Linked DNA regions of Xenopus tropicalis. The main gene of each other region encodes a partner of the protein of the gene in region 2 in a complex. Links are inferred from orthologs where the notes say so. Each region holds a gene or a part of one and is shown on either strand. Other genes may lie near its edges. The genes, in order: aplf and xrcc1.

Evidence for each region.
Region 1: the proteins of xrcc1 (region 2) and aplf are in contact, whole or in part, in a crystal structure (PDB 5W7X), measured with the Homo sapiens proteins. The link is inferred for Xenopus tropicalis from reciprocal best matches to the Homo sapiens genes XRCC1 and APLF. Residues at the interface, in NP_006288.2 of Homo sapiens: Pro514, Tyr515, Ala516, Gly517, Ser518, Thr519, Asp520; in NP_775816.1 of Homo sapiens: Arg27, Gly28, Pro29, Gly32, Ile33, Thr34, Lys36, Arg37, Val38, Ser39, Arg40, Arg41, His58, Asn60.

Annotation. Positions count from the first base shown.
Region 1 is NC_030681.2:30,351,432-30,367,810, reverse strand, and holds part of aplf (aprataxin and PNK-like factor), read left to right. Parts: intron 1-6,495; coding exon 6,496-6,662; intron 6,663-10,331; coding exon 10,332-10,509; intron 10,510-16,379. UniProt on the Homo sapiens protein: Histone chaperone involved in single-strand and double-strand DNA break repair.
Region 2 is NC_030683.2:118,934,133-118,950,511, reverse strand, and holds the end of xrcc1 (DNA repair protein XRCC1), read right to left. Parts: intron 15,963-16,379; coding exon 15,870-15,962; intron 15,088-15,869; coding exon 14,980-15,087; intron 14,503-14,979; coding exon 14,344-14,502; intron 14,056-14,343; coding exon 13,981-14,055; intron 13,504-13,980; coding exon 13,386-13,503; intron 12,719-13,385; coding exon 12,606-12,718; intron 12,147-12,605; coding exon 12,008-12,146; intron 11,432-12,007; coding exon 11,203-11,431; intron 10,570-11,202; coding exon 10,453-10,569; intron 9,162-10,452; coding exon 9,077-9,161; intron 8,815-9,076; coding exon 8,622-8,814; intron 8,418-8,621; coding exon 8,360-8,417; intron 8,267-8,359; coding exon 8,130-8,266; intron 7,772-8,129; coding exon 7,681-7,771; intron 7,192-7,680; coding exon 7,116-7,191; intron 4,402-7,115; coding exon 4,288-4,401; 3' UTR 3,142-4,287; downstream 1-3,141. UniProt on the Homo sapiens protein: Scaffold protein involved in DNA single-strand break repair by mediating the assembly of DNA break repair protein complexes. Negatively regulates ADP-ribosyltransferase activity of PARP1 during base-excision repair in order to prevent excessive PARP1 activity.

The DNA.
Region 1 (16,379 bases), on a different chromosome or scaffold from region 2:
TCAAATGGTAAATCTGTGCATCAAATGGTATTATCAAATAAATCTGCCATTTAAGTGCATTTATACATCACAAGCATAAGGCCAAATCTCGGGCTTCCCTGCAATATTCTGGCTGAGCATCTCTGTGCACGATTTACGCTACACCCTTATTCTTTTGTCTGTTGCAGTTTTAGACTGCCCCCTTTGGTTGCAATGAATTAGGAGTTTCTTTTTTCATTAGTTATGGAATTCCTTATTTGGAAACCTGAAAGCTGCAAATAATGTGAAAGCCATTTCCGATAGAGTCAATATAAAGAAAATAATTCTAATTTTTAAATATGAATTACTTTTTCTTCTTGTAATAATAAAAACAGTACCTTATACTTTATCCTAAGTAAGTATCCTAAGTCCTTATTGGTGGCAGAACAACCCTATTGGGGCTGAGCATCTCTGTGCAAGATTTTCGCTACACCCTTATTCTTCTGTCTGTTGCAGTTTTAGACTGCCCCCTTTGGTTGCAATGAATTAGGAGTTTCTTTTTTCATTAGTTATGGAATTCCTTATTTGGAAACCTGAAAGCTACAAATAATGTGAAAGCCATTTCCGATAGAATCAATTTAAAGAAAATAATTCTAATTTTTAAATATGAATTACTTTTTTTCCTGTAATAATAAAACAGTACCTTATACTTTATCCTAAATAAGTATCCTAAGTCCTTATTGGTGGCAAAACAACCCTATTGGGTTTATTTGTCAGCATTTCGAGGTATTGGAGGTTTTGTGGTTTTATTTGATTTTGCCATATTCATTCAGCACTTTCAATATATAATTTAGTAATAATAACATTTTTATGGGTTTTTTTTTAAAATCTCTAACTTATTCTAAGTAGAAAAGATTGCACAAATACAATTTTGATAAATAACCCCCTTAGGGTATGGTTATCCAAAGTACAGAAAGATCTCTTATTCAGAAAACCCCAGGTCCCAAGAGTTCTGTTGTATGTTTATTTTGCCACATATGCAAAATATTTTGATATGATTATTAATGTAACTAATTTCCCTGATTTTAGTTTTTCCAGCCCCTTGAAAAACATAATATGGGATATATAATTGGGTTTGACAGTAGTACTTGCACCGGTGCAATCAATGTTCCCTTGCCTTACGGTGTCTATTTTTCTACTTTTTAAGCTAACGTACAAGCTTAATATGGCTACAATACTATATTTGGTAAACCCTAACCGTAGGCGTGCAAGTCTGAATGATTTCAGAGCGAGAAACGCTATATTGTGTTAACTGAGCTGTGTTGGATTGTGTTAGTGATTGCAATCTTGTATTTAACCTTGTTTCTTATGGTATGAATGGGATTAGATTGTTTGTACATACTTGCTCATTGACATAATGCTGTTGAGTTCAAACCTTTATACAAATAGAATGTATTTGTTACCCACTAAAGAACGTCATTTACTAATCTGGAGATTTTATATAAAATTGGTTTAGAAAATTATAAATATGCTTGCTTTCTACTTATCTTTTTTTCCTTGCTGATTTAAGCACAAAGCAGAGATTGTAAAATGCATGTCCGTAATATTTATAATGCAGTATTCATGCACCCTTGGAAGGACCCTCGTAATAAGTGTGACCCTAACATGTTAAATATCTTTGGCACTGCAACAATCCACTTAAGTCATTCCCCTCCATGATAAGTTATTTTTGCGGCGCAACAGACCATAAAGCATCTAAGTGCACAATCAATTTTGATTTAATAAAAAACCTCGAAAGAATGTTTTTATAAATCTGGACACAGTCTGTGCTCTATTAGTCCAAATATGTGCTTAGAAAAATCGATGGGCAATGTGCACTGGCTATATTCTCTTCATTGAAGCATGCACGCGTGATCCTATATCCTTATTGTCTACGATTAAGGGATCATTGTGAAAAATACTCTAATGAAAATAGGGCTTCTAATTCTTATTAACAACGATTTCCCCGGTGCAGCTGTTTCACTGATGGGACCCGTTGAATGGATTTTCAGCCAACTTGCTGACCTAGCAGTAATGACAAGGAGGAAAAAGTGCAAACCAGATTAGTTTTTTTTAATTAAATAGGTATCATATTGAATAACTATGGTTTCTGAAAAGCCACCGGGGGTTATGAAGTAATGTTCGGAACCCCTATCCACCATCTAACTATTATAGACCAGTAAAAGTTACAGATTGGATGCTACAGGACCAGGACAGACTGCATAAACCCCTAGAAAGGTTTACTAACCATACTCTCATTTGTTACAGCATTTAAAGAAACAGTAACACCAATGAATGAAAATATATTAAAGAAATTAAACTATAATGTACTGCTGCCCTGCACTGGTAAATGTTGTGTGGTGGCTTCAGAAACACTACTAGAATTTATATAAATACCCTGCTGTGTAGCCATGGGGGCAGCCATTTAAAAGGCGAAAAGGCACAGGTTATATAGCAGCTAACAGATTAAAACGTGTAGAATACAATGGTGTATTATGTGCTATCTGCTATGTAACCTGTGCCCTTTCTCCTTTTCTCCAGCATGAATGGCTGCCCCCTGGCTACACAGCAGGGTATTTATATAAACTATAGTAGGGTTCCTGAAGCAAACACACCAGTTGTACCAGCTCAGGGCAACAATAATTTTTTGGCGTTCCTTTAATGTACTTAGCATTATATATGGTCCTCTCCCAGTGAAGTCTTCTATAAAGCACAGAAAATGTTGCTTGATAAAGACCCTTTTGATTGGGCTTCAAAAGTGCTTATACAGGATGTAACGGAAGCGCATGAAAACAAAAATGGTGTATTACATTTTAAATGAAAGAGTGCAACACACAATAAATATAAAGTGCAATGTTCTAATAAACTCCTCCACCAGTGTGGTTTAATAAGTGTGTACACTCACCAGTCTCAGGGAAGCAAATGCCAAACCAATCAATAGCTTTGTTGCCAAGGTCTGCTGATCAGCCTTGGGCCAAAAATTATAATAGCCATCATTGCACACCATCAGAAGAGGAGAGCATCAATACACCAATGGGAAAATCAAACCTGCCCCTCTGATTTCTGCATGATTTTGCTGCCACTCATGCAGGGCCATCAGGGTGCCCCATACAAGGGCCTATAAGCTGCTAACTTGGTCCTTCCGGCCCATGTGCATCTATGGCCATTTTTACTTGATTATTTAAAGCTTTCCAAAGAATATGTGTAACGACCACCATTGAAAGCAGTTTCTTCACTGGCAGAGAAAATGGCAATTCTGCCCATGCTTGTAGTCAATAACATGAATGGCATCCATCTTTCACTGAAAACATGGGGTGGATTAAAGGATGTGTACTTCATATATCCCTTCAGTTTGCCAGCGCCATTACATGTTACTAAAAAAATAGCAGCTTTTACCTGGTGGCCATTTTCCCTCTGACACATCATCAGTGATGTTTACATCTACAAACAGCACAAATGTGCTGTAATGTTAATGCAATGAAGAATGCAGGCTTACACAGGCAGAACATATGGAGATATACATTTTTGCTTGGATTGAGCACTGTAATGGTTAAAGGAGAAGGAAAGGCTAAGTCACTTGGGGGTGCCAAATGTTAGGCACCCCCAAGTGACTTAAATCGCTTACCTTGTACCCTGGGCTGGTGCCCCTGTTATGAGAAAACAGCCCCAGCCCGGGGTACCTGTAGGAAGCGCTTCCTCCTTCCTTTTTCTTCTGCCGGTGAAATCCGTGGGCCGGCGCATGCGCAGTAGAGTGAAAAGCCGACTTTCTTGTTTAAGTTCGGCTTTTCACTCTACTGCGCATGCACGCGCGGCGCTACAGGAAGTAGGAAGCACTCGCTGCTACCCCGGGCTGGTGCTGTTCTCTCCGTACAGGGGAACCAGCCCAGGGTAAAAGGTAGGCGATCTAAGTCACTTGGAGGGTGCCTAACATTTTGGCACCCCCAAGTGGCTTAGCCTTTCCTTCTCCTTTAAGCTGAGACCAGGAGAGGTGGTTAGGAGAGAAAACATATTTATTAAGCAGAGTGCACAGCTAGTTTTCATGGAAACCAGTAATGCCATAAAGAACTGAGCATGATCAGTAGCCAACAGCCAAACACATTCCCAAGGGAGGGGCTGAGTGGGTTAGAGGAGGAGAAGGAATCACAAAGTGATAAAGGGGATGCTGCAGCCTTACTATTAACCTTTGACCAACAGGAGTGGCAGGTATTTAAAGATTTCAGAGAGGCTGTTAACTGATTTTTTGTGGGCGGATTTACATGCCCTTTAAGGCCCAAAAATGCGCACACAAGCTTTTTCAGGCTGAAATCCACTCCATATATATACAATGTCAGATGGGGTTCTTTGGTCACTGACTGCAGGCACAAGTAGTATCAGCATTGATGTTTTCCGTATTGATGTTTTCTCACCTAAAGACATTAGCCTTCCATCTTCCTTTGTGTATTAGCATCACCAAGTGTAAAACAGAGTTATCTGCTTTGTGGTCACTTGTTTCCTTCTTTTTAAATTACTTTCACTGTAGACCTTCTCTAGATGCATCAACATTCATAGACCCTGGGGCAGTTGGTTTTCACGCGTTCATTGTCCTATTAAAAAAAAAAGTACATTTTGTATTCTACATATCGGCAGGTATAAACCATTTATTTCTTGATCTTTTCCGTGCTTTTTATATTAACATGCAAATCTACATATTGAGACCAAAAAAGTTTGGTTATTTGAATTTTATTTCATGTTACATTCTTGGAATAGATCATTGTGTAATAAAGTAGAATACCTGCTGTTCCTAATTAAATGGCCGCTTCTCTCGGGAACAAATTAATTATTTCTAGCTATGGGAAATGTTACATAGTTACAGTTTTACAGCCTAATAATTGCACAAAAGAAACCCACTATGCAGTGTAAAAATGAATTGCCTTTAACTTTAGAGTCTGTATTGAGGAAGTGATTGATGTTCAAACTTTCAACTAATAGAGGAATTGACCTGCAGAGTTTGTTGTTATGGAAAACAAGCTCTTGTTGATTGTGATTGATGAAAACTCCTAGTACTTCCAGCTGATAGAACAATAGATTCAGAGATTGCATTCATGAAGGAACTCTTCACAGAGAGCTTACAGGTGATCAAACCCATTATGATTTCAGTATGTAATCTTTACCATTCCTGTAGCGTGGGAGTGAAATGTTCTGCTTATAAATGAACTAAGAGATAGCAGTTTCAGCAACAAGCTAGTAAAATACAATAGGGCTCATGTACGTCCACAAGTCCAGTTGCGGTCCAGGTAATTTCCCCGCAGTCAGCTGTGCGTAAAAAAAGGTACTTGCATTAAAATGTGCTCTCTCTATAGTTGCACTCAGCGGCGCTCAGTCTGTCCTGTTTTCCATTCTGAAATGGGTGTTGCTGCACCTATTAATGCATGGAAACCCTGAAGCTACTGCCACCTCCAAACCAAGTGATAGCTCCAGGGTTCCTGTAGCACCCTGCAATTATGCATCGCTGCAGTTAAGCTGAAATTTTGGGGAAAAATATATGTAAGATAAAATGTTGCCTTCTGATTTTTCTTTTTTGGTAAGTAAACCCAGGTGCTAACTGTGGGTAGTATTTAAGGCCTAGATAAAAAATATAAAGCAAAGCAGTTCCCTAGGTTAATGTTTCTTAAACTGTGAATTCTGATGGAATGCACTGATCATTGTACCTTCCAACACACTGGAGCACAGTCCTAAACAGATATATTTTGAGGTGGCCATACACAGGGCGATTTAAGATGCCAGTTTATCAGCCCATGTTTGGGGCCCTCAGACAGGTCTGTCTGACCGATATCTTGGTGAAAATTGGGCAGATGTCGATTGGGCAGGTTTAAAAATCTCATCAGGGTGAAGAGTGAGGCTTATTAATGTGGTCCTGGTTCCGATGGCCTGCATCATGTCAATGTGATCTGATCGGATCAATCCGATATTGCCCACTTCAAGGTTGGCATATAGGGTTGATAAAGTTGATCTTTCAGTATATGGCCAGGGTTAGATCCTATATAGATTAAAAGTAGTGTACAATACCAGCACAATAGAATTGTTTTTTGGGATTCTTTTTTTACCCTCCATCCTATTTATGTGTTGTTCATAATTACATATAACATATTTCAAACTTTTTTATATCATAGTTATATTTTTCTTTTTATTACGTGTAACTTTAATGTGAATGATTGTAGATTTAGGCTGCTGTAGTCCTTCCAGTGATGCAGATTGCTGTGATCAGTCTGGAAAAGCTGTCAAACAGTGACTATAACTGTACTGTATTTGGAAAGCCTAAAATTGTAAAGCAAAAGTTTATACCCTAGGAGACGTTTCTTCAGTTTCAATGGATTCTTTGTGCTTTTCATTTCGTTATGTGGAATGCAAAAAAATGACAGGTTTCAACTGCAAAAAAAGATGTCCCCCCTGCTGAAACACTTGCTGTTCTTTGATCTCCTTTTCTGTAATAACAAAAATGCAATTTTTCTTTTTTTGTAGGTGCATGTGAATCCCTGTTTTTATCAAGGTCCTGGTGGAAACACATTTATTCCTTTGGAAAAAGACAAATGGCATTGGTTACACTCTGGGGACTGTTTTTCTCTTTTGCCAGATAAATATACATTCAAAGTCATTGCTGACACTTCTACAGAGGAGAGTACTGAAAGGTAAAGTAACATATTTCAAGTGATATATAAATATATATATATATATGTTGCTATTTTTTATACATAGATTCCTAGCAGAGGAAGGATCATATGAATGAAGATCTGCTGCAAAGGGAGGGGTTGTGGGGTAGGGTATGTAAACAGTACAGAAAGGGGTATGCACCCCCTTGTTCACCTTGAGTTCAATGAATAGTTTTTATGCTGAACATACTTTTTGCCTATTGTTATAATCACAAAAAATCTGTTTTTTTGTTATTTCTTGAGCTAAACAGGGAAATTAAAGCTACTCTGTGTTTGGCCCTTGAGTGGTAATAATTAGAATACCAGTACACAGGTAATCCCCTAGCTAACAAAACAGTCACAGCAAAGAGGGAAGCTAGGGATAGTATTCTGGTAATTTAAACTACCTCACAAGGACCAAACATGCAGTAGCTTCAATTTCCCTCAAGAAAACAAAAACCATAGATTTGCTAGAAATAGGGCATTCTATAACATACTAAAAGTTTATTAAAATGTGAACCACCCCTTTAAAAAATAAGTATGCTTTAACTGTGACTTGTACAGGTATGGGACCTGTTATCTGGAAAGCCGTTATCCAGAAAGTTCAGAATTACGGAAAGGCCATCTCCTATTATAAAAAAATAATTTTGCTTTTTAAAAATGATTTCCTTTTTCTTTGTAATAATAAAACAGAACATTGTACTTGACCCCAACTAAAATATCATTAATCCCTACTGGGGCAAAACAATCCTATTGGGTTTAATAATATTTAAATGATTTTGGACTTAAAGTTTGGCGATCCAAATTACGGAAAGACCCCTAATCCGGAAAACCCCAGGTCCCGAGCATTCTGGATAATGGGTCCCATACCTGTACTGGTAATAAGTAATAGGCGTCTGTCTGTGTATGTATTTCAGTAGCTGTCTGGCTACTAGGGATTTACCCTAGCAAACCAGGCAGTGGTTTGAATGAGAGGTCGGAAAATGAGTAGAAGAAGGCCTGAATAAAAATATAAACAAAAAAAGTTACAATAACAATAAAATTGTAGCTTAACAACAGGGTAATAGTTTTTAGCTGCTGGGGTCAATTACACCCATTTGAAAGCTAGAAAGAGGCAGATGAGGAAGGCAAATATTTCAAAAACTATAATAAATAGTAATAACACATTGCAAAGTTGCTAGGAATAGGGAATTCTATAATACACTAGAAGGTAACTCAAACGTGAACCACCCCTTTATGGAATAAGTACACATTTTTATTTTAGAATGCCTAAAATGACTCTAAACAGCCTCTAAAATGACACACCTCCCTACTTAGAGTCCGATGTCCGATCTAGTGGGAAGTTCCGACAGCTCCTTGACCTATTCAAAGTAGAAGGAAGGCTCAGCATACTAAAGGGGAACAGAGATTCACCCTATAAAAGGAAAGTGACTGATTTCTGCAGCATGTTTCAGTTTCTATCTTAGAAACTCAATGTAGGGAGAGACTTTCGGGGTCATTTAGAGTTTTTTAGGGATTTTAAAAGGTTTACTTTTTCTTTAATGATCTAAGGGCTGTTCAGATATATTTTGAAATGTAGTTATATTTATTTAATATTTTGAATGAATACAGAACCCTATAAACCTGTGAACTGTTGGTTCAGCCAGTTTTGCTGATATTAGCCATTGTTATTCTTGTTTAGTTGGGGCTTAATTTTTTGCATTTCAAAAAACAAAAGTTAATCAAAAAACTTTTTCACGTGTGAAAGTCAAACTGACTTCTAACTGTATAACTTTAATGTTAAAAACCAACATCACATTTAAAAAAAAGTTTTTTTTACAATAATTAAATAGCCCCTTATTACCTTGATTTTATGGGAATATATAATTCCAGCTTGCTACCATGATAGTATACTTTTATCATTTTAGAAAATTTTGGTTGAAAGTGCGTGATTCAGTGCACTTCGTCTTAAATTATTTTTCCAGAACACCAGGCTTGTCGATTGATGATGTGTCTGCTTTGGCGTTACTGTTGTCTAAACTAACGTGCTATTACTTTTGGGTCATGAGTTTCAAGGCTGTTGTGACAGAGCTAATTTGGCTTGACAGCACTCTGATGGCAGGTGATGGTTCTGTCAATGTCTTTTAAATTTGCTTTTGCTGTTCACAAATGAGTCATGAATTATAGTCTCAACCTTCACCTGCAGCCTGATTGTTATTTGTCTTTCTACTAAAGCTATATTTTTCCAGGCCCCACAAGGATGGCTGTAAGCAAGTTGCTGGATAATAATTGGTGTTCATAGAAATGCATGATTTTTTTTTTAATATTTTTTCTAATAAATTGAACTACCTAATAGTCTTATAGGATAATTATGGTTTGAACATTCCCTGTTGCAGTGACCCTGGTGATAAGAGATGAATGGGAAACAGGATTTAAGAAAAATAGCTAATAGGAGAAGCACAGTTTTTCTAGATTTTACAAGGCTTTATAAAGGGCAGCAGAAAATAATATAATTCTGTTCTGTGGTTTTCACTGTTTTATAAACAAACCCTTCTATATCCATGTTGAGTAAAACTCATAGAAAGTAAAGAATCAACTCTGATTATTTAGGAGGCATTTGTGTAAAGCTCCTTTTGATTGCTTAAATAACTTATGTGACTTGATGGAATTAAAGTGGAAAAGTGCATTTTCTCCTTATGCCTGTGGCTGGAGTTAATGGACTAATGGCCGTATCCTTTCCCACTTAGATTACTGCAATCTCCTACTAGCCCTTGTAACTCTATCCTTGAATCCCTCCGTAGGGAATACTCACTCTCTTAAAGATAAAAGTCAGATGCTACCTTCTGGAGCACTAAAACATTATTTTGTCTAGTCCTGCGCTTAAGGGCAAATGCACATACCTGGTACAATTTGTCTCCTGTATGTTACCCAACCATTTAGATTGTAAGCTCTACGGGGCAGGGACCTCCTTCCTACTGTGTCTCATACCACATGGCACTTAACCTCTCCGTATTTATACTTATTTATTGTATTTATTGTATTTTATCTTTCTTCTATCCATGGAAATAAATCCTGGCATAAATTACACGTTATTTTAATTATTTATTATAATAATATATAGTAATATACATTATAATATTAATTTTATGTTATCATGCACGCACAACTAAATATGAATGTGTTTGTCAGGTGGCAAAACAGCCAATATACTGCACTCACATATCTTTTAAAAATGTACCGTAATAAAAACTTCCCTTCTTGTGAAGGCCTTCAAATGGCTCTGAAACATTAAATGAATAAGCAGGTAAAGGTAAAATTTTGATTTATTAAAGGATAATTAAACCTTAAATAAGCAATGTAAAACTACTTAGGGTGGTTTTCTAAGCACATTTGCAATTTATATTAATTATTTTTTCTGTTTTAGAGCTGTTTAAGTTTTTATTAACTGCCAATATAATGAATTTTGTAACAACAGCACCACTTTTTTTCCAATTTTCCATTACATTTTTGGTGTTTACTTATCCTTTTAAGACCTGACAGTTCAATATATTGTCCGCTTTCCTCTATGCCTATGTTACCTACATGCAGGTACTGCTGTCTGTTCTTGGTATGCACACATAGTAAAATAGTACATAGTACATGGATGTGTGTGTATCTATATATCTATAAACCTATTCTTATACTTTACAGAAATGTTCATATCACCAACAAGACGAGTGAAATAGCTGATAATCCCAGCTGCTCTTTGGATACTACTAAAACAAGAGATGAGGAACCTTCTTGCTCAGCCTGGGGTGCTAAGAAACCTTACCCAAATCCTGCTTCAGATGCTCAAGGTGAGAAGACCAAATCCCTGCTAAACAGTCAGGTAAGTCACTATGAATTTATTTCATAAAGGATATTACCTGTATATTTAAATTTGTATTCAGGATGTGCTGGTTATTGAATGGACTTCTTTTAAATACAGTCCAGAGTGTAATTGTGTACAAGAAGTAATTTTACCTGTACCTGACTGACACCCATAGGCGGATGGGGATTTTTTTGTTTGGGGAGGCTAAAAATGTTGGGTATCTATATGCAATGACAGTTACCCCACTCATACAGAAAAGCATTTTTTACATGCGTTTTCCTGTGCTGGATCTTGCATGTGTTTCATCCCAGGGGAACACAAAAAGAAACGCATGCCTGTATTTTCTATTTACTGTGACTGTAGTCACTGTGGCACAGGCAAGCGTGGAATGCAGGTGTAATGTGCTCTGTTAGGGGCTTACCTGCACCACAAAGAGTACAGCCTAATACGTAAATAGGCCTGCATTTCTTCTTGTGCTGAGACACATGAAAGATCCAGCACATGGAAACGCAGGGAAAAAACACTGTAAGAGCCAAGAACAATTTTTAAAAAATGTTGTCACACACATACGTTGACAACTTTAAAATACTGAAGTAAAAATGCAGTTTGGAGCAGTTAGGGTAACAGAAAAAAAGCATTCATTTTTTGGTAGCATTGGTCCTTTACAGTTGAAATTTTTTTTTTTAACTGTGTTCAGTTCCATAACGCTGTCTCTCTAAGAACACTTAATATGAGTTCATATTTCTAGCACCCCAAATCCTTTATCACTCCGTATCATTTCCTAAAAAGATTAATCATAAATAAAACTATTCATCTTCAAACAGGGGTGTTTCTGGGGTCTATGCTGCCCTGAGGCAGCCTTTCAGATGCTGCCTCCCTCGCAGAGGTATGAAGAGGGGGCCACATTGCTAGTACAGAGTCGAAAATGCGATTTGAAATCTGAATTTCAGCTCTTAAAGCTACCAGGAGCAGCTTTTTGCCGCCCATAGTAATTTGCAGGCTTATGGCAGCGGCGCCCGTCTTCAGAATATCCAGCTATTGCTGATCTGCAACTGCTTTCAGTCTTTTACTGCCATTGGCATTGGTCTGATATCTAGTGGACTCTCATAGTTAATATCACAAGCATTAGGAATGTGTATCAATTGACTTCTTATTGCCAGTGGAAAGAAACTGATTTTTCCTGTGATAGTTACTTTCAGCTGCCATGGACAGCTCAGTTCCACTAACTGTGGCAGGGACAATCAACCATAATTAAGGCAGGTAATTTCATAGCTGTTATTATAAATCATTAGAGGATTGGTGGGGAAAGGTAAATGTAGCCACTAAAAAAGTAAAAACGGCTCTCAAGCTGCCCGCGCAGCTTGCTGGCCGGGACATGGGTATGTAGGTTAAGTGACTTGTCCAAGGTCACAAGGTGCACCTAGGGTGGAATTGAACCCGAGTCCCAGTGAGTCACCCCACTGAAGGCCGATTCCCTAACCACTAGGCTATCTGAGTCCTCCCACTTGTAGGAGGATCTTTTTGGTCTGTTGTCTTAGATATGGTGTGTGAAGGAAACATTCAGGGTTAAAGCCAGCTGCTTGCACCAAGACCTGTATGAGTAGGGGGACTGTTAATTAAGTAGAGAGAATTAATCTGGAAACTGTGCTGCACTATTCATAACATAAAAATAGGCACAACATCTATTTGAAAAGTGTTTGACCTGAAAGCAGGTGCTTGTATGGCTATTCAAGCTGGACCCAATAAAGCCCTATGTGGGTTTTATGAGAGACTTTCCATAGAAGGCTGGCCGGCCACTTATATCATGTATGTTTCTGCTTTTTAAATGTGTATATTGACAGACAGATATTGGTAGATAGTTTAGAAGCAGGATGAGCAAACAGGAACAGAGCTGCCAATCAGTGGGAAGTGCCAGAACACAAGAGACTTTTATCAGGGCTGCCATCAGAAACTTTGGGTCCCCATACAAGTTAATTATATGGGTCCCCCCATGAACACAAGGATGGCACTGGGCAGTGAGTGACACATGGGTAATGGCATATGGGTGAAAAGCCTGTTATGACCGGCATTACATGAGGGATATATGGGGATAGGAGAGAGGTTAATAAATAAAAATAATGAAGAAGGCAGTAACTGACACATAGTGGTTGGATGAGAGTGACATATAGGGAGAGGAGGTGGCACATAAAACACATGAAAGATCCAGCACAGGGAAACGCAGGGAAAAACACTTGTCTGTAAGAGCCATGAACACATTTTTTTTAAGCTTTTGTCACACACATACGTTGACAACTTTAAAATTCTGACGTAAAAATGCAGTTTGGAGCAGAAAAAAAACATTCATGTTTTGGTGGCATTGGTCCTTTACAGCTGAAATTTTTTTTTAACTCTATTCAGTTCCATAACGCTGTCTCTCTAAGAACACTTAATATGAGATTAATTCTAAACCAACAGCTGCCTTACAATCAACTCCCAGCATTTATTTTGAAGTTCTACAGATTGTCTCTTGCATTTTTCTGTCAACTCCCAGCCAGTCCAGCCATTATCAGCTTAATATCTCCAGTTCCAAAACTTAAGCCCCTACAATAACCAATTCCAGCTCAACATTTCTCCCTTAACTTTAGTTCATATTTCTAGCACCCCAATCCTTTATCACTCCCTATCATTTCCTAGAAAGAGTAATCTAGATAGCCCCAAAAGAATCAGTTTCCACCTCAGACTTAACTTGGGTGTACTTCTAATTTTTATGAGCTGAACATTAGATCTATTACAGCTATGTAAAACTTTGCCAGCACTCCTACAGTTCCGATATAGTACAAGACTATAAAAATAAATGATATATAAAGGAATATACGTGTGCTTATCTTACTAATACGGTAAAGCAGCACCTTCTCTAGCTCTCTGCATTGCTTTCCCTCAGTAATTTTAGCTCCGTGTAGCTACTCCCTCTGCTGGGCGGGCTAATGTTACACTGGGAAGGAAGGCAGGGGAGAGTAGCAGACTATGCGCAGAAAGGAAGATTGTACTTAGCCTGAAAGGTGGCATACATTAAGGCTGGATTGTTATTATACTTGCACCCCTTCACATCACAACCCTCCTTTCCCCACACAGCCCTGCTAGTGATACGCTGATGTCTAATCTTAACCTGCAACCTCCCTCACATTCCGTTTTCAGTTAGAAACTTGTACAGCATTATATTGCAAACAAGTTCAGGTAAATTTACAAAGGACTTAAGTTTGGGGAGGCTTAGCCTCCCTAAGCCTCTATTAAAATCCGCCTATGCTGACACCTGTATCCCACCGTTTCCAGTTCATTTAAAGGAATAGTTCACCTCAAGTTAACTTTTAGTATGTTATGGACAGGGCTGGACTGGGCTGGCAGGGCACTGAGAAAAAAAAACGGTGGGACCCAGACCCAATCACCAGCGACACTCTCCCCCTGAGATCCCTCCCCAATCGCGACTAAAATAAGTAATGTAGCCAAAAGAAAATTGCTCCATGAGACTACAATTGTATTGTTAATTTTACTTTTTATTATTACTTATCTTACAATACAGGTCCTCTTCTATTTATCTTCCAGTCTTTCATTCAAACCACTCAAACTCAAACAACTAAAGAGCAGACTAAACAAAAAGTTCCAGACTAAACAAAAAGTGTCAAAAAATGTCTCACAATATATCTGCCTGCATTGTCTGAAGGGGCTGGCCTGATTTATCAGTGTTTGAGTGCAAAAGCCATTTTAAAACTCAAATGTACAATATTTATTAAAGGAATCAGTTAATTGAGTTTCTCCAGCAGAATCCTACATTGAAATCTGATTTCAAAAACACAAACAGATTTTTTTATATTTAATTTTGAAATTTCACATGGGGCTAGCCATATTCTTTATTTCCCAGGGTGCCACAGCCATGTTACCTGTGCTCTTATAAACTTCAGTCACACTTTACTGCTGAGCTGCAAGTTGGAGTGATATCACCCACCTCCCAGCACCTGATCAGCAGAACAATGGGAAGGGAGCAAGATAGCAGCTCCCAGTAGGTATCAGAATAGCACTCAATAGTAAGAAATCCTAGTCTGGCTTAGGACTCCTCCAGTTACATGGGAGTAGGAGAAACAGTGTGTAGCACTGGCACCTTCTGAAAGCTCAGACTCAGGCACAATGCACAATGGCGCCTACACAACAATACTACAGCTAAAAAAAAGTACATTTATTGGTTCAAGAATAAAATTTTAAATGGTAGAGTGAATTATTTGCTATGGAAACAGTGTACCGTATTTTTCGCCGTATAAGACGCACTTTTTCTTCCCCAAAACTGGGGGGGAAAAGTTGGTGCGTCTTATACAACAAATACCGTATATGTATATGCAATATGCGCTTGTTGCGCGCACCCAGCCCCCCCCCCCCCCGTGGACGACCTTGCGCTGCGTTGCGCGCATGACATAATGCGTGGCGCGACGCTGCACCATCGAGGGGCGATTGTTTCGCTCGTTGCGCATCCACCCCCCCTCCGTGGATGTCCGTACCATGCGTCCTCTTCCCCTTGCAGTGCCGATCGGAAGATGCGCTGTTAGTGGCTGTGTCTGTGCGGCAGCCTTCAGCCCATGCAAATCCTGGAGCCTCCTCCTGCTGCTGCTGGGGCAGCCAGGCAGTAATCACATGCCTCATTATGTGCGAGCCCAGAGACAGGCAGGGCTGCAGTCCACAGAGGGAGGAACAATTAACACAGCACACAGCAGGATGGCAAGTACTTGATAATTAGTATATTATATAGTTCAGAATCTTTTTTTTCTAGATTTTCCGCCTTTAAAATTGGGTGCGTCTTATATTCCGGAGCATCTTATATGGCGAAAAATACAGTAATTTAGAAATAAAAAGTACACCATAAAAATCATGACAGTATCCCTTTAAGAAAAAATAAGCAGAAAGCTCAAATGTAAAACGTTGCGAGTTCATGTACAAGCCAATGGGAGTTGTCCTAGCAAAATGTGTCGGTTTTTTCAATTTAAGTTTTGATTTTTTTTTTTAGAGTTTGTAGATCACATTCGAGTTTGGTAAAAACTTGAGTTTATTCAAATTTTAAAAAACTCAAAAGTTCACAAATTCATATTTTGATAAATCCGCCTCCAAAGGGGAACTACCACTTTGACAAAAGGCAGCACATAAACCTATATTTTGACCATTTAAGCCCAATAGCTGTTGGAAGTAGTTTAAATACAGTCTTACATCCTATTCCCTACTGAACTGTGTATGGTAACCTTTATTGTCTTTCCCTGTTTCCCTTTAAATTGTTAAAGGAGTGTCTGAGATTTTAATTTTTTCTTATCTACAACCTAATTTTAGTTCCACTATCCTTATAAATGTTATATTTGGGCATTTTTATCAGATGCACCACAACGTAGCCTTCTATGACATTTTCAGCTGGTATAATATATTCAGAGTACAGCACTTTTTATTGTTTCAAATGCCACACTGATTTGTTCCCTGGCTATTTCTGCTTATCAATCACATGTCATTGCTTATCATCCATTTTTATCTGCAAAAAATGTTCTCACTCGTACTGACACAACATTTTTTTTTTTGTTTTTTCATAATCTAATTTTAAATATGTATAAATATTTGAAAACACATTTCTGCTGCCTTTTCCTTCATAACTCATTTCTGCAATGTAGTTGGATCATGTATGACAGGCACAGTTGAATTTCCTTTCTATATTTGTAACTTCATTGTAATTGTTGTACAGGTATGGGATCTGTTATCCAGAATGCTTTAGACCGGGATTTTTTTGGATAAGGAATCTTTCCAAAATTTGGATCGCCATACTTAAAAATGAAGATTTATCAAAATTCAGTATGGTTGATATTTATTAAAGAAAAAAATCCTCGAAAAGT
Region 2 (16,379 bases):
TGGACTGCAGGACTGTATTGTGAGTCCTAAGATGTGCAGTAACTATTTTTGAAAGACTCTGAATAAAAATGAATTACAAATGTTGTAGGTGAAAATTCCTGGGGACCTTCCCAATCTGTATCTGAGATACGAAGGGCAGTAGTGATGTTCGAGCTGGGCCGATACCCACGAACAGGTTCAGGCCGACCTCTGCACAACATTTTCAGGTTGCGGACGGGTTTGGGTTGAGCACTTGTGCTTCCCCGCCCGTGACCGTACACTGTGGATTTCTGGTTCTGGCTCTTATTTATAGGCACACGGCCGCCCCCCATTTGTGGGCGGGCCAGACACGGGTCTATAAATAGAGGGTAGGGTTCGGGCTGGGAGTAAAACTCGACATCACTAAGGCTGATGCCAGACGAGGCGTTTTTAAGCTGCATATTTTCTAATTCGGCGGCTGAAAAACGCACAATATCATCATCCATAGAAATAAATTAAAGGAGAAGGAAAAGCTAAGTCACTTGGGGGTGCCAAAATGTTAGGCACCCCCAAGTGACTTGAATCGCTTACCTTCTACCCAGGGCTGGTGCCCCTGTATGGAGAGAACAGCACCAGCCCGGGGTAGCAGCGATCGCTTCCTTCTTCGCTGCGCGCGCATGCGCAGTAGAGTGAAAAGCCGAACTTTAACAGAGAAGTCGGCTTTTTCACGCTACTGCGCATGCGCCGGACTCGGTGTCGCAGCGAAACGAAGGCGGAAAGAAGAAGCGCATCGCCCCAGGTGCCCCGGGCTGGTGCGGTTTTCTCCTACCAGGGGCACCAGCCCGGGGTACGAGGTAAGAGATTCAAGTCACTTGGGGGTGCTTAGCATTTTAGCACCCCCAAGTGACTTAGCCTTTCCTTCCCCTTTAAACAGTCTCGATGGAAAACACACTATGCGTAAATACGCTAGAAAACGCCTTACCATGGACTTTTCATGCATTTGCCGAAATACGCAGTTATTTGCACAGCAACCTATTCCTATGTATGCACAAAGGCAGCTGCCAGACCTTGCGGAAATACGCAGCGTTTTTTACTATTAGCACCATGGGAAACGGGATTTGCCACGTCATCAGTACTAGGCTGAAAAACGCCATAGTCAGGGGCTGTGTGGCTTGTGCAGCGTTTTTAGGCGGAGAAAATACGCAGCGTAAAAACGCCACGTCTGGCATCAGCCTTAAGCCCAGCTATTCTCCATTCCTCAGGCAGGTCACAGCCTTATACAGCACTATTTTAAATGTTCTGTGGACTTAAAAATGTCTATAATTTAAGATCCAACAGTAGATGGCGAAATTTATTCTTTCTTGCTTTGTTTGGCTATCAAAGTGGCGCATAAGAAAACGTGGGAACGCGGCTAAAAAAATTTGAGAAAAGTGCACAAAATTGAGAGAAGACACGACTGAAACTTTTATGAACGATTTTGCAAGTTTTGTCACAGTCTATAAAGCATGATTGCTAATAAACTTGATGAACAACTTGAATGCTAAATATAGACTCTGTGGCATCTCAACAGGTTTTTGGGTTTTTTTGACGTCTTGACAAACCTAGAATAGTCTTGGTAGAAAACGTAATCACAATTTTTCCGCGATTGCTGTTCCTGTCCTTAGAAAAATTGATGATTTGTGATTTTTGAGAAGACAAAATTCCAACTTTCTCCCTCCCCCTAAGGTGGGGTCACTGACCCTCTTTCTGTGCGAGTATTTGGGAAGCTCCACAGGTGCACCCCCTTCATTCCCATCTTTATATCTGTATGTAACCGACCCAGCCATTCAGTAGTATCAGAGAGATGCCTAATGGAAGGGCCACGCAAGGTAGCGCTTGTATCTAATATTCCTTCTTCAGTGGCATGTGGGCAGGCACTGCTTCGGTAGTATTTATATTGCCAGCAGATACAAATATATATAAAATGTAAATAGTGATGGACCGAAATGTACTTTTTTGTGTTTTTTTTCCTGGCTTGTGGAGATGCAACTGACTCGGTCATAGATAGAACACTACTGTTCACTGGTCCTTTCTCTTCCTATTTGATATAATTACCCCTTATTGGGGGCAGAACAGCCCTATTGGGTTTATTTCATGGTTAAATGATTCCCTTTTCTCTGTAATAATAAAACAGTACCTGTACTTGATCCCAACTAAGATATAATTACCCCTTATTGGGGGCAGAACAGCCCTATTGGGTTTATTTCATGGTTAAATTATTCCCTTTTCTCTGTAATAATAAAACAGTACCTGTACTTGATCCCAACTAAGATATAATTACCCCTTATTGGGGGCAGAACAGCCCTATTGGGTTTATTTCATGTTTAAATGATTCCCTTTTCTCTGTAATAATAAAACAGTACCTGTACTTGATCCCAACTAAGATATAATTACCCCTTATTGGGGCAGAACAGCCCTATTGGGTTTATTTCATGGTTAAATGATTCCCTTTTCTCTGTAATAATAAAACAGTACCTGTACTTGATCCCAACTAAGATATAATTACCCCTTATTGGGGGCAGAACAGTCCTATTTGGTTTATTCAATATTTAAATGATATTTAGCAGACTTAAATTATGGAGATCCAAATTACGGAAAACCCCAGGATGCAAGCATTCTGGATAACAGGTCCCATACCTGTACAAGAAACCATAAAAGAGAGGTGTAGCTGCAGGAAAAGCCCTAAGGATGCTTATAGTCTATACCAGTGTCCCCAACCAGTGGCTTGCGTGGAACATGTTGCTCATCACCCCCTTTTATGTTGTTCCTACCAGCTTCAAACTAGGTGGTCATTATTTAATTTTTGGCTTGAATTGAAGGTTGGAAGCCGGTTTTACTCCAAGCAGAACCTCCCTGTTGCAGGCAAGCAGGCCACATGGGGCTGCCAAATAGCCAATCACAGCCCTTATTTGGTATCCCCAAGGAAGTTTATTCATGCTTATGAGTAAATAAGGTTGGGGATCACTGGTCTGTACAAAGAGATAGCAAACCTTCCCTGGTACCAATACCACAGTAGCATTCTACAGTGAAGCAGAGAGGATAATGAGTAAAAATGAAGATTACACAATAGCGAATACATAACATTCACAACAATATCTCACACCTTACTCATGCAGCGCTGAGAATTCACACCCACACACAATGCAATTTTCTAGCTCAGATAAATTGTATTTAGGGCTGATCAAAAATAAAACAAAAAGTCAATGTGTAGACAAAGCACAGCCGACGTGTTCACTGAGCTCAGGAGTAGCTGGGAAGGGGGATCATACAATACACGCATTTGTTGGTAAAGACAGAACATATATTTATTTCTGTTTCCCACAAAAGTTTGGTTTTTTAATTTATTTACTTAAAAAAATTCATTTGCGCTGAATCTGAAACCAAACGTCAGGAATCCAAACTACTTAACCGATGTCTTGAGATGGGGCTCGTTAATGGTAATGGCACAGGTTATTGCTTGGCGCCAAAGCTTGTGAAATTGTCCCAAGCTGCTTCCCATTGCAGCGCGGCTATGGCACACCTGCCTGCCATCTTACTTGTGGTATCAGTCCCACGAGTCTGTGTAACGAATGCCGATTCTCGCTGCCCACAATGAGAAGAGATGCGGAATAAATGCCAGCACTTTTTGAAGAGCAAAATGTAACCTTGTGAGACTGGAGGAGATCCCCACTAAACCAACATGGCTACCCCATATCAGAGTACCCAGCTTTACCTCTACAGCCCCAATCAAACAAATGTGAGAAATGATGAGAGTAGCACCAAGTAGTGATAATGGTATGGCATTGGGGGGGGAAATTATCGGGGGAAATAATGCATTTTCCCCCAGCATTTGTTCAGCAAAAAAGAAAAAAAAAAATCTCTTTTTCAAGCTACTTAGTCAACTAAACTTACTACAGACTCCCCCGTTCCATAAAGTAGCAAACTTATTTTGCCAGCATTTATTCTGTCAATGACAATGGGTGGTCTTTTCTGGCTAATTTGTTGCTGAAGCCATTTGCCCTTTTTTCTGTAAAAGCGGCGCTGTACAGAGCAGACAGTAACACATCTGTAAAAACTGTTTGACCAAAGTAAATCCACAAATATCTAAGAAACCGGTCTGTTTACAAAATATACAACACTGTATAGTCTGATATCAGTCTGATATACACACACCAAGCAGGGCCACTGCACATCGCACCAGATCCAGTCCCAGGTGAAGGCCAGGTGTGAGCCCATTATTTGGAAATCCTGAAAATGCCCAGTCTGATGTGGCAGGTTGCCTCTTATGTTGTCTCAGGTTATCATTGGCTCTTACTCCTGCGGTACCACAACATACGGCTGGTGGGGAATGCACTTCTGTCGCTCGTTGCAGTTGTAGATCCAACGAGGCCGGACAAAAGACACGTTTGCATTTTCATTAAGAGCCTGGCAGTGAAAGGGGGCAGTTAATAACAATGACTATGTGAATATGTAAGCCTTAGTGCGGTCAGTGTGGGTCTGTATGTGAGTGGATAGGTCAGTGTGGGTCTGTATGTGAGTGGATAGATAGGTCAGTGTGGGTCTGTATGTGAGTGGATAGATAGGTCAGTATGGGTCTGTATGTGAGTGGATAGATAGGTCAGTATGGGTCTGTATGTGAGTGGATAGATAGGTCAGTATGGGTCTGTATGTGAGTGGATAGATAGGTCAGTGTGGGTCTGTATGTGAGTGGATAGATAGGTCAGTATGGGTCTGTATGTGAGTGTATAGATAGGTCAGTGTGGGTCTGTATGTGAGTGTATAGATAGGTCAGTGTGGGTCTGTATGTGAGTGGATAGATAGGTCAGTATGGGTCTGTATGTGAGTGTATAGATAGGTCAGTGTGGGTCTGTATGTGAGTGTATAGATAGGTCAGTATGGGTCTGTATGTGAGCGGATAGATAGGTCAGTATGGGTCTGTATGTGAGTGGATAGATAGGTCAGTGTGGGTCTGTATGTGAGTGGATAGATAGGTCAGTGTGGGTCTGTATGTGAGTGGATAGATAGGTCAGTGTGGGTCTGTATGTGAGTGGATAGATAGGTCAGTATGGGTCTGTATGTGAGTGGATAGATAGGTCAGTGTGGGTCTGTATGTGAGTGTATAGATAGGTCAGTATGGGTCTGTATGTGAGTGGATAGATAGGTCAGTGTGGGTCTGTATGTGAGTGGATAGGTCAGTGTGGGTCTGTATGTGAGTGGATAGGTCAGTATGGGTCTGTATGTGAGTGGATAGATAGGTCAGTATGGGTCTGTATGTGAGTGGATAGATAGGTCAGTGTGGGTCTGTATGTGAGTGGATAGATAGGTCAGTATGGGTCTGTATGTGTGTGGATAGATAGGTCAGTATGGGTCAGTGTGGGTCTGTATGTGAGTGGATAGATAGGTCAGTGTGGGTCTGTATGTGAGTGGATAGGTCAGTGTGGGTCTGTATGTGAGTGGATAGGTCAGTATGGGTCTGTATGTGAGTGGATAGATAGGTCAGTATGGGTCTGTATGTGAGTGGATAGATAGGTCAGTGTGGGTCTGTATGTGAGTGTATAGATAGGTCAGTATGGGTCTGTATGTGAGTGGATAGATAGGTCAGTATGGGTCTGTATGTGAGTGGATAGGTCAGTGTGGGTCTGTATGTGAGTGGATAGATAGGTCAGTGTGGGTCTGTATGTGAGTGGATAGGTCAGTGTGGGTCTGTATGTGAGTGGATAGATAGGTCAGTGTGGGTTGATAGATAGGTCAGTGTGGGTCTGTATGTGAGTGGATAGATAGGTCAGTGTGGGTCTGTATGTGAGTGGATAGGTCAGTGTGGGTCTGTATGTGAGTGGATAGGTCAGTATGGGTCTGTATGTGAGTGGATAGATAGGTCAGTATGGGTCTGTATGTGAGTGGATAGATAGGTCAGTGTGGGTCTGTATGTGAGTGGATAGATAGGTCAGTATGGGTCTGTATGTGTGTGGATAGATAGGTCAGTATGGGTCAGTGTGGGTCTGTATGTGAGTGGATAGATAGGTCAGTGTGGGTCTGTATGTGAGTGGATAGGTCAGTGTGGGTCTGTATGTGAGTGGATAGGTCAGTATGGGTCTGTATGTGAGTGGATAGATAGGTCAGTATGGGTCTGTATGTGAGTGGATAGATAGGTCAGTGTGGGTCTGTATGTGAGTGGATAGGTCAGTATGGGTCTGTATGTGAGTGGATAGATAGGTCAGTATGGGTCTGTATGTGTGTGGATAGATAGGTCAGTGTGGGTCTGTATGTGAGTGGATAGATAGGTCAGTGTGGGTCTGTATGTGAGTGGATAGATAGGTCAGTGTGGGTCTGTATGTGAGTGGATAGGTCAGTGTGGGTCTGTATGTGAGTGGATAGATAGGTCAGTGTGGGTCTGTATGTGAGTGGATAGGTCAGTGTGGGTCTGTATGTGAGTGGATAGATAGGTCAGTGTGGGTCTGTATGTGAGTGGATAGATAGGTCAGTATGGGTCTGTATGTGAGTGGATAGATAGGTCAGTATGGGTCTGTATGTGAGTGGATAGATAGGTCAGTATGGGTCTGTATGTGAGTGGATAGATAGGTCAGTGTGGGTCTGTATGTGAGTGGATAGATAGGTCAGTGTGGGTCTGTATGTGAGTGGATAGATAGGTCAGTATGGGTCTGTATGTGAGTGGATAGGTCAGTGTGGGTCTGTATGTGAGTGGATAGATAGGTCAGTGTGGGTCTGTATGTGAGTGGATAGATAGGTCAGTGTGGGTCTGTATGTGAGTGGATAGGTCAGTGTGGGTCTGTATGTGAGTGGATAGATAGGTCAGTGTGGGTCTGTATGTGAGTGGATAGATAGGTCAGTATGGGTCTGTATGTGAGTGGATAGATAGGTCAGTATGGGTCTGTATGTGAGTGGATAGATAGGTCAGTATGGGTCTGTATGTGAGTGGATAGATAGGTCAGTGTGGGTCTGTATGTGAGTGGATAGATAGGTCAGTGTGGGTCTGTATGTGAGTGGATAGATAGGTCAGTATGGGTCTGTATGTGAGTGGATTGATAGGTCAGTATAGGTTTGTGTGTGTTGGATTTACTTGATAGACTCTGGTCTATTTTCAACCCTATGTAACTATGTAAATCACATGAAATACTTACATCTTCAAAACGGTCATCCCATTCCTGGGCGGTGATCACAAACTGGACTTTTTCATTCATGTACTCCTCCAGCTCTCTACCGACACCAACAGAGTGAGACAAAGAAAGATGTGTGATTTAATAACAAGATGGGGGTAGATATGTCCCTAGAAGAATTTTGACAAAGGCTTGGGAGTAACGGGGGTGGGAGGGCAATGGAAGGTGTGTGTGTGCAGGGAGTGCATATGGGGGCATGACTGCCATCTTTGAACTGTGCTATTAAAAAGGGTTAATTTGCAGTCATACTCACAGAATAAACATATTGGTAATTAGTATTTAGGTTAATAAGGAACATGTGTATAATCCATTTTAATGACTTCCAAATAGGTTTTTCATTAAGCATTCCCTTTCTACCCATCCCACTCTACCCCTTGTTTGTGCCTCAAAAATGCTCTTAACCAGCTAGCGCTGCTCACATCAGCGAATCACACTCAGCAGAGCCGGCATTCTAGCGGGGGATGAAGCAGCAGATGCAAGCGGCACCTAATTAAATAGCAATAATGGCGCTGCTAAATGCGCAGCTTACCCATTGAAAGCAGTGATGTATCTGTGCAGCATCCGGCGCTCAGCAGCAGGGAACTCGCCATAGAGAAAGAACTTCTTCCCCAGGAACAGATCTGTGTGAGAAATCACTTTCACAGTCACATAAAGCATATCTGGCAGCAGATGGGATCTATAATCTTGTTATGCTTTGTGTGCGGGTAAAGCTGGCATCAAGCTCTGAACAGAGAAGCACACACTGGGGCAGAGCAAATGCCAGGGGAATCTTACAGCACAACCGATATGGCATGAATGGTTGGACTGGGAAACAGAGAAGCAATAGCAGGAAATGAGGGGGGTAAGAAGCCAGATACTAGGAATGGGTGGGAGAAAAGGAATGGAAGACAGATTAAAGGCAGTGGAGGAAAGGAAGATCAAATGGCAAGATAGATTTCAATACAAATGTTGCAGGACTGGGTTCTATTTCTTACATACCGGGCAGTTCGGGGATGGGAAGGTCCGGCTCTGGTTCCTCCTCCACGTCGGTGTTCTCATCAGTAGAGCCGGCGTATGGATCCTCGGGTTCAGCCTTAATGGCAGCTGCCTTCTTGCCTTGTTTCTCTTCATGGAACCTGAGGGATGGGGGGGGGCGGATTTTCTATTTATAATACAGCATGGAACCAAGGGTAGCCCAGGTCAGCTACATGCAAGCAACAAGAACCTACCTCCTTAGCTCTTCTTCTGTATCTTCCCCAGAATCCTCCAGATGGGGTTGCCTCTTACCTTGAAAAACAATGGTCAAGGTTATTCATTTTCAGCCCATCTCTACTCTGCTACTTGCATTTCCTCATCCTGCTCCCCCTTATCCATGCAGGAAATAAAGTAAAGTACAATTCTATTTCTAATTCAGCTTTCCTCTGCGTTTCCTTAGCCTCCCGCATTCTGCCCCCTAAACTTTCCTAACCGTATGCTAATGCCCCCCAATACCTGTGGCTTCCTCATCAGTGCTTGCGTTGTATTCATCCTCCTGTTTAGGTGTGTTGTTTGCTTTTGAGGAAACTATTCTGGGATTTTCATCCTCTGTTTCTTCGTCTTCACTTTTTATTGGAGTTTTCTTGACTTTGACCTTGGATGGACTCGGCGAAGGCCTTTTGTGGTTTGTGCGGCTGGGATCTGGAGTCTACAAATACAAAATAAAAATATTCTAACTGCTCTTCAGCAGTAAAGCTAGCTGCTGAGTGTTCTACCCCATATCAGAAAACAATGTCTATGACCCTAGAGGGCCCCTTCTGAGAGGAAACGCCATCCAAGGCCTCGTCTCTGATCTCACCGAAAGTATTGGCAAGTAGATACAGTGTCAGAGTCCTCAAAAGAAATCCTACAGAGTTACCCCGAGCAACAGGGTCTTCTCCACCCCCTAATTTACAATACTATGTAATTACCGGCTTATGTGGAGCTTTGGGGCGTTCATCTTCCTCACTATCATCCTCTTCATCACTACTGGAATCAGCTGAACCCAACAGGTACCTAAACAAACAGACAGAACTTAAAAGAGTCGCTTTCTGGTACACGCAAGAACAATCTGCATCAAATGACCAAATGACTGCATTAAGTGCATGTAATAAAATATAACACACAGTACAATCCCACAACAGTCCCTTGCTGCAGCCTACAGAGCTACAGGATAAACCTTGTTTATATATATTATATATATATATATATATATATACATATACATACAGTGGCTTGCAAAAGTATTCGGCCCCCTTGAACTTCTCCACAAAGTTGGCCTTTATGGAAGAGTGGCAAGAAGAAAGCCATTGTTAACAGAAAACCATAAGAAGTCCCGTTTGCAGTTTGCCACAAGCCATGTGGGGGACACAGCAAGCATGTGGAAAAAGGTGCTCTGGTCAGATGAGACCAAAATGGAACTTTTTGGCCAAAATGCAAAATGCTATGTGTGGCGGAAAACTAACACTGCACATCACTCTGAACACACCATCCCCACTGTCACATATGGGGGGGCAGCATCATGCTCTAGGGGGGCTTCTCTTCAGCAGGGACAGGGAAGCTGCTCAGAGTTGATGGGAAGATGGATGGAGCCAAATACAGGGCAATCTTGGAAGAAAACCTCTTGGAGTCTGCAAAAGACTTGAGACTGGGGCGGAGGTTCACCTTCCAGCAGGACAACGACCCTAAACATAAAGCCAGGGCAACAATGGAATGGTTTAAAACAAAACATATCCATGTGTTAGAATGGCCCAGTCAAAGTCCAGATCTAAATCCAATCGAGAATCTGTGGCAAGATCTGAAAACTGCTGTTCCCAAACGCTGTCCATCTAATCTGACTGAGCTGGAGCTGTTTTGCAAAGAAGAATGGGCAAGGATTTCAGTCTGTAGATGTGCAAAGCTGGTAGAGACATACCCTAAAAGCCTGGCAACTGTAATTGCAGCAAAAGGTGGTTCTACAAAGTATTGACTCAGGGGGCTGAATAATTACGCACACCCCACTTTGCAGTTATTTATTTGTAAAAAATGTTTGGAATCATGTATGATTTTCGTTCCACTTCTCACGTGTACACCACTTTGTATTGGTCTTTCACGTGGAATTCCAATAAAATTGATTCATGTTTGTGGCTGTAATGTGACAAAATGTGGAAAAGTTCAAGGGGGCTGAATACTTTTGCAAGCCACTGTATATATTTATTAGAGGTAAAGTCCTTTTTTATGCTGGCTATAGCATTGTAAGTAAGTTATCTTTTTCCAGACAGTTTTTTCCCAGGCAAACAATAGTTTCAAACCAACTCTATGCACTTACTGCTTGTACGGCAGCCGTTGCTTTTTCTTGTAGCAGTCCAGGATCCACTCCTTTCGCACGATGATACCCCCCGCTGATTTCACCTGGCTGAATTTAGGGGTATTTGCAAAAGCACATCTGGAAACAGAAAAACTCAAGTGAGTAAAATTACTGTCTGGCGCATTAAAAAACTCTAACCCCAATATGTAATAAAAGGCATTAAGTTTGCCCAGGTGCAGTAATCCATAGCAACCAATAAGATGCTTGCTTTTAAACAGGTGACCAGTAAATGCTACCTGCTGATTGGTTACTGCACCTGGGCATATTTAATTCCTTTTATTACATCACCCCTTATATGTAGTGCCAAATCTAACCAGCTAAACGACAACGTCCCATGATTAGGGGAATATACTTTTCTAAAGTTAACTTTTAGTATGTTATAGAATGGTCAATTCTAAGCTCACTCCCTGGTTGCTAAGGTAACTTGGACCTGAGCAACCAAATAGCTGCTGAAACTCCACACGGGAGAGCTCCTGAAGTGACATTGAAATAACTAAAAATCTTCAAATAATAAAAAATGAAGACCAATTGCAAATTGTCTCAGCATATTACTCTCTACATCATGTTATAAGATAACTTAAAGGCGAACAACCGCTTTAAGTACATTTTGCCCTTTCCTAAGTATGACATGCACCATTCCCAAGAAAATGGCACGTTCTACTTCAAGCTCTTTTTTCCCTCTTATTCAAGGGAGATACTCCCTGTACGTACATGAGATGAGTACTGTCTGGGGTCCAATCTGGCCTGTACTTGGCTCCCATCTCTAATGCTTTATCACGGAGGTCAGATCGGAAGGGATTCTGAAAGCCACTTAGCACAAACACTGTGCCCTGCAGAATGCGACCCAGTTCCATTTGCTGAGGAGCCGGTGAGGACTTTTTCTGGGCAGGCTTCTCCGATGGAGAAGGCTTCTTTGTAGGAGGGACAGTCTGTGTTTCAACTGCAGGAAAGAACACAATATATTACATAGTTAGCTCAGCATATAGATCACTTCACAAAAGCAGGTGAAAATCCCTCCATGGGCCCTAAAGACATACTATATATCAGTGTTCCCCAACCAGTGGCTCGTGAGTAACATGTTGCTCCCCAACCCCTTGGATGTTGCTCTCAGTGGCCTCAAAGCATGTGATTATTTTTGAATTCCTGGTAAGGAGGCAGGTTTTGGTTGCATAAAAACCAAGTATAATGACAAACAGAGCCTTCTGTAGGCTGTCAGTCCACATAGGGGCTATTAAGCTGCCAATTATAGCTCTTATTTGCACTCCCAGGAACCTTTTTCATGTGTTGCTCCCCAACACTTTTTTCAATTAAATGTGGCTCACGGGTATAAAAGGTTGGGGATCCCTGCTATATATTAACCCTGCCACAGATATGCTATGTAATATTATGACACTACAACATACCCAGACGTGGAATTAAATCTCAAGGCTCACAGAAATCACGTGACAGGTACGCTGCTACTGTGTCCCAGCCTCAAGGTGTCATCCAAGTGAAGGAAAAAAAAAATTTTTTTTACCTTTTGGCTTTTTGGGTGCTGGCTGTGATGTGCTCTCTTTGGCGGAAGATGGGGACTTATTGACTTCGTGTTTCTTGACTGCCGAGTGGCTTGAGGGTTCTTTACTGAACTCAAACTTCCGTTTACCAGATGACGGTTCCTAGAGAGAACAGCAACTGCTCAGAACAAACTAGAACTTCACTGGCATTGGTCTTTGGATGTTAAAGGGGACCAATTCTTTGTATTTGTTTAATGAAAACATTGAGACAAATATATTTCCCCTCTTACTTTTGTCCATAAGCTCCTATGCTGCCGTTACCAACTCATCTTTCCAACTTGACCCTCAGTAAAAATACATTATTTCTTGCTGTCTGACCACAACCTTCCTTTTTAAGCTCTAGAAGACTTTCTGTAGTCTCAATCCCCCTATACGTAGCCAGCAAGGGTTATGGGTTAGTGCCCAAAGGGACATGGTGTAACATCTCTGGGACACAGCTGACAATAAAGCTGCCACATTTGGAACATCTGTAGCGCATACATGGGTATGATAGGTATACCCTATGCTGATAGAGGAGACAGAGGCGGTCGGTGTATCCATGCCCACACCCAACTTACTCACCTTTGGGATGTTATTACTTGGTGGGGTTTTAACAGTCTGTTTTTCAGTGCTGGAGCTGGCCTCTCCTGTGCCCTGTAATGTCGCAGACGCATAGCTTTGTGTGGCTGGTGGAGCTGTAAAAGAACACAATAGCTAAGTGGCAGTATAAAGGGAATAGTGTTGGAGGGAGAATTTAAAAACTCTTAGTATGTTATAGAATGGTCAATTCTAAGCAACTTTTCAATTGCCCTTCATTATTTATGTGTTTTGAATAACTTGCCACCTTCTCTATGGAGTTTTGAAAAGGGGGTCACTGATCCGGCAGCCAGAAATCAATTGCTCTGTTAGGCTACAGTATTATTGTTATTGTTACTTTATTTTCTATTCAGTCCCTTTCCTATTCATATATCAGTTTCTCATTCAAACCACGCCCTGGTTGCTAAGGTAACTCTGACCCTAACAACCAAATAACTACTGAAACTCCAGGCTGGAGAGCTCCTGAACTGAAAATAATAAAAAATGAAGACCAATTGCAAAATATCTCAGAATATCACTCTCTACATCATAGTAAAAGTTAACTCAAAAGGTAAACAACCCCTTTATAGCTGTTTTGCCATATGGTTGCAGTACAAGCCATGAAGTAAAGTAACCCTATGACTCAAGAGTTACTGTACCTGCAATGTACCTAATAGCGTAGGTAATGCAATGCACACAGTTTCTGTACAAGTTTCAGGGGCACTCACACATTTCAGAAAATAACTAATAGAGGGAATTACAAGGGATATGTGCAGAATAGCTTACTTTTCGGAGGAGTAACCTGCGGCTTGCTGGTGCGGCTGAAAAACAGACTCCCGGGACGCATAGAAGGAGATGAGTTCTCTTCTTCCTTTACCATAAACTGCCCAAGTTTGGTCACTTTCTGCAGAAGAGCATAGTAATGATTTATAATCCATGGCAGCATAAACACAAGGTGAACTTTCCTAAACCGGCACTGTTCAAAATTAGGTCAGCCTGTCATGTAAGCTGATGAGACAGAGCTGAATGTGCAGGGAACCAGCAGAAAAGAAGATATGGGGGGGGCTACTGGGGCATCTTTGGGGGCACAGATCTTCCCTGCTAAAGGGCTGTGGTTGCCTTGGGCCAACCACAAGTTCTGGGATAAGTGCTGATTTGCAGTCTTAGATATCACTGGAACTACAACCTATGAATGATATAAAGTTTTACATGTTAGTAACCTTTGCTATTAGGTAAGTGATTAAATGAAGACGGGATTAAAAAGGGCATGAGCAAAGAAATATTTATGGTCCCCTATATCACAGATAATGAATTGTTCCTTATGTAGAACCCCTTGTATTTGCTTATGTATCAGTCAAGCAAGCACAGGTAGAATGCATACCGGTGAGGGAGCGGTGGGCGAGCCATCCTCTGGAGGGGAGTTCAGACGTATGAATGAAATACCATAAGCAAGGTTCTAATGAGACAAGAGAACATGAAATGGTTTATAGAAAAACGTGCATCCAGCTATATACTAAAGGCTTGCCAACAAACTCCACAGAAATTACCACACTTCAGCAAAGGAAAAGTGTACTTCTCATGCCTGATCCGCACCCAACCTGAACCCACAACGGTCGCCCAAATTTCAACTCTAACTTACCTGACCTCGACCCACACATCACAACAAATACTAATTGTATCTACATTCTGTTTGTTAATTATATATCCCACAAAGCTCTCCGCTCTGTAAGCAGACACTGCACACCTTAGTGTAGGGTTGGGTGCACACAATCTTCACCCGATCCCATTTCTTTTCAGCTGCTCCTTTCACGAGCTTGTCTGGTCCGAACATTCGCAGCCGATTCAGGTTGCTTTCATTCTTGCTCTCGCTAGGAGACATGAACGATGACATTCCCAGGAGGACCTATGCAGAGACAAGCAAGATGGGAATTGGCACATCAGGTCTGTATTCCTCACAACTGTACTAACTTGCTATCTGCATTTACATTCTGTGAGCTCTGGAGAGTAAAATGCTATAGCAAACTATCCCTAAGCAGGAACACACAGAGTTTTCGTCACTTTCTTCACTGACTCTATATCATTAATCACAAAGCGCTGAGGACACGGTATTGTATTTACCACACTATCCCTAAGTATGAGATTGGCCCTGGGTAGTTGATGGTGTCCAGAGTTCTCCTTAACCAGCAGCACCCCCATCCTCAAGGAGCACGACCAACTTAAATGCCATTTCCGTTTGCTAAATGTTTAGGGAGCTTTACAGACATAGGATGCTCTCGCTATAGCCTGTGCTTTTTCTGCCTCCATATTAATGGTAATCTTTTTTACTTTAATAAACAATCATCCCAACCACTGCATATGGCACTATAGGTACCTGCCATACCTCATATTCCTGCTCGCTGATTGAAGTGGAGTGTCCGACCAGCACTTCCACAAACGCAGAACCTTCATTGCCAATATCAATGCTGTGGACCTGCTCCTCCTTTTCAAACTGCAGAAAATCAAAGGCACCAGAGTAAGCTGAGGTCAGTACCCATGCACGTATAGGCACACACGGCATGAAATTAGAGCAGTAATTATTTTTTATTTCATTTATTGCTGTTATTTATATAGTGCAGCTACATTTCCGCAGCGCTTTTACAGAGATTATTCATCAGTCCCTGCCCCAGATCTTACAATCTAGGGTCCCTATCACATTCACACACACTATGGTCAGTTTAATCAGAAGCCAATTAACGTGCCTGTATGTTTTTAAAGTGTGGGAGGAAACCGACGTACCCAGATGAAACCCATGCAGTGAGAACATACAAATGCGTTGCAGAGAGAGCCCTGGTCGGGATTGAACTGAAGACCCCAGAACTGCAAGGCAGAAGTGCTACCCACAGAGCCACCATGTAATTAGCAAGTTATCTCTCAAAGGAACACACTTAGCAACTTTCCAAGGGTCTGCGCTGGGCAGCCACTAGGCAAAACCACTGGTTAGAAACAAACCCACCATAATCCCATACACATGCATTTCACCTAGCAAATCAGAAAGGTGTGTCTCTGCTGGTAGAAGCTATTGCACTGCGCCAACCTTTCAATTACCTTCACTTGACAGTCTTGAAAGAAATTAACTAGTTAATTAAAGGGCCAGTATAATGTCCTTATTCTCATTTTCAGTGAAATACAGGAAGCAAGCCATACCCTTAGGGAAGCATAGGATAAGCATGGCTACTGCTCAGTTGCTAATTCACAAAGCTTTCTCTCACTCACTCACTCTACATTCCATACCTGCAAAATGACGGAGATCTGCTTCTCCCCAGGGCGGGCGGCTTTCCATTTGCGGTATGTGTCGGCTTTCAGCAGGTTCTCTGCTGTGTGTGTCTGAGGAGCACAAAAGTTTGTCGACAGTTAAAGGTGAGGGTGTCTCTAACTGCCAAACCATTCCCATTGTGTATTTGTCAAACAGAATTCTGGGAGCGTTTACACTGGCTGTTCAAACAATGAGCTGTGTGTGTGTTATTTACCTGCTAACTAAACAGCATCAGAATGCTTGGCACTCATCCCTCATTGCTCCTACAAGGGTTGTGTGAAAGCACCAACACAGAAACCTCCTCACAATCCGCATAGAGGGAGCAATTTAGGGATATCGATGTAAGAACGACACCTGCACCATGTGCATTGCCTTAAAGGACAAGTAAACCCCATAGCCTTTTTGAAATATTTAAATACCTGTCACTCTGGTTGTTCAAAGGTTAATAGTAAGGCTGCAGCATCCCCTTAATCACATAGTATTCCTTC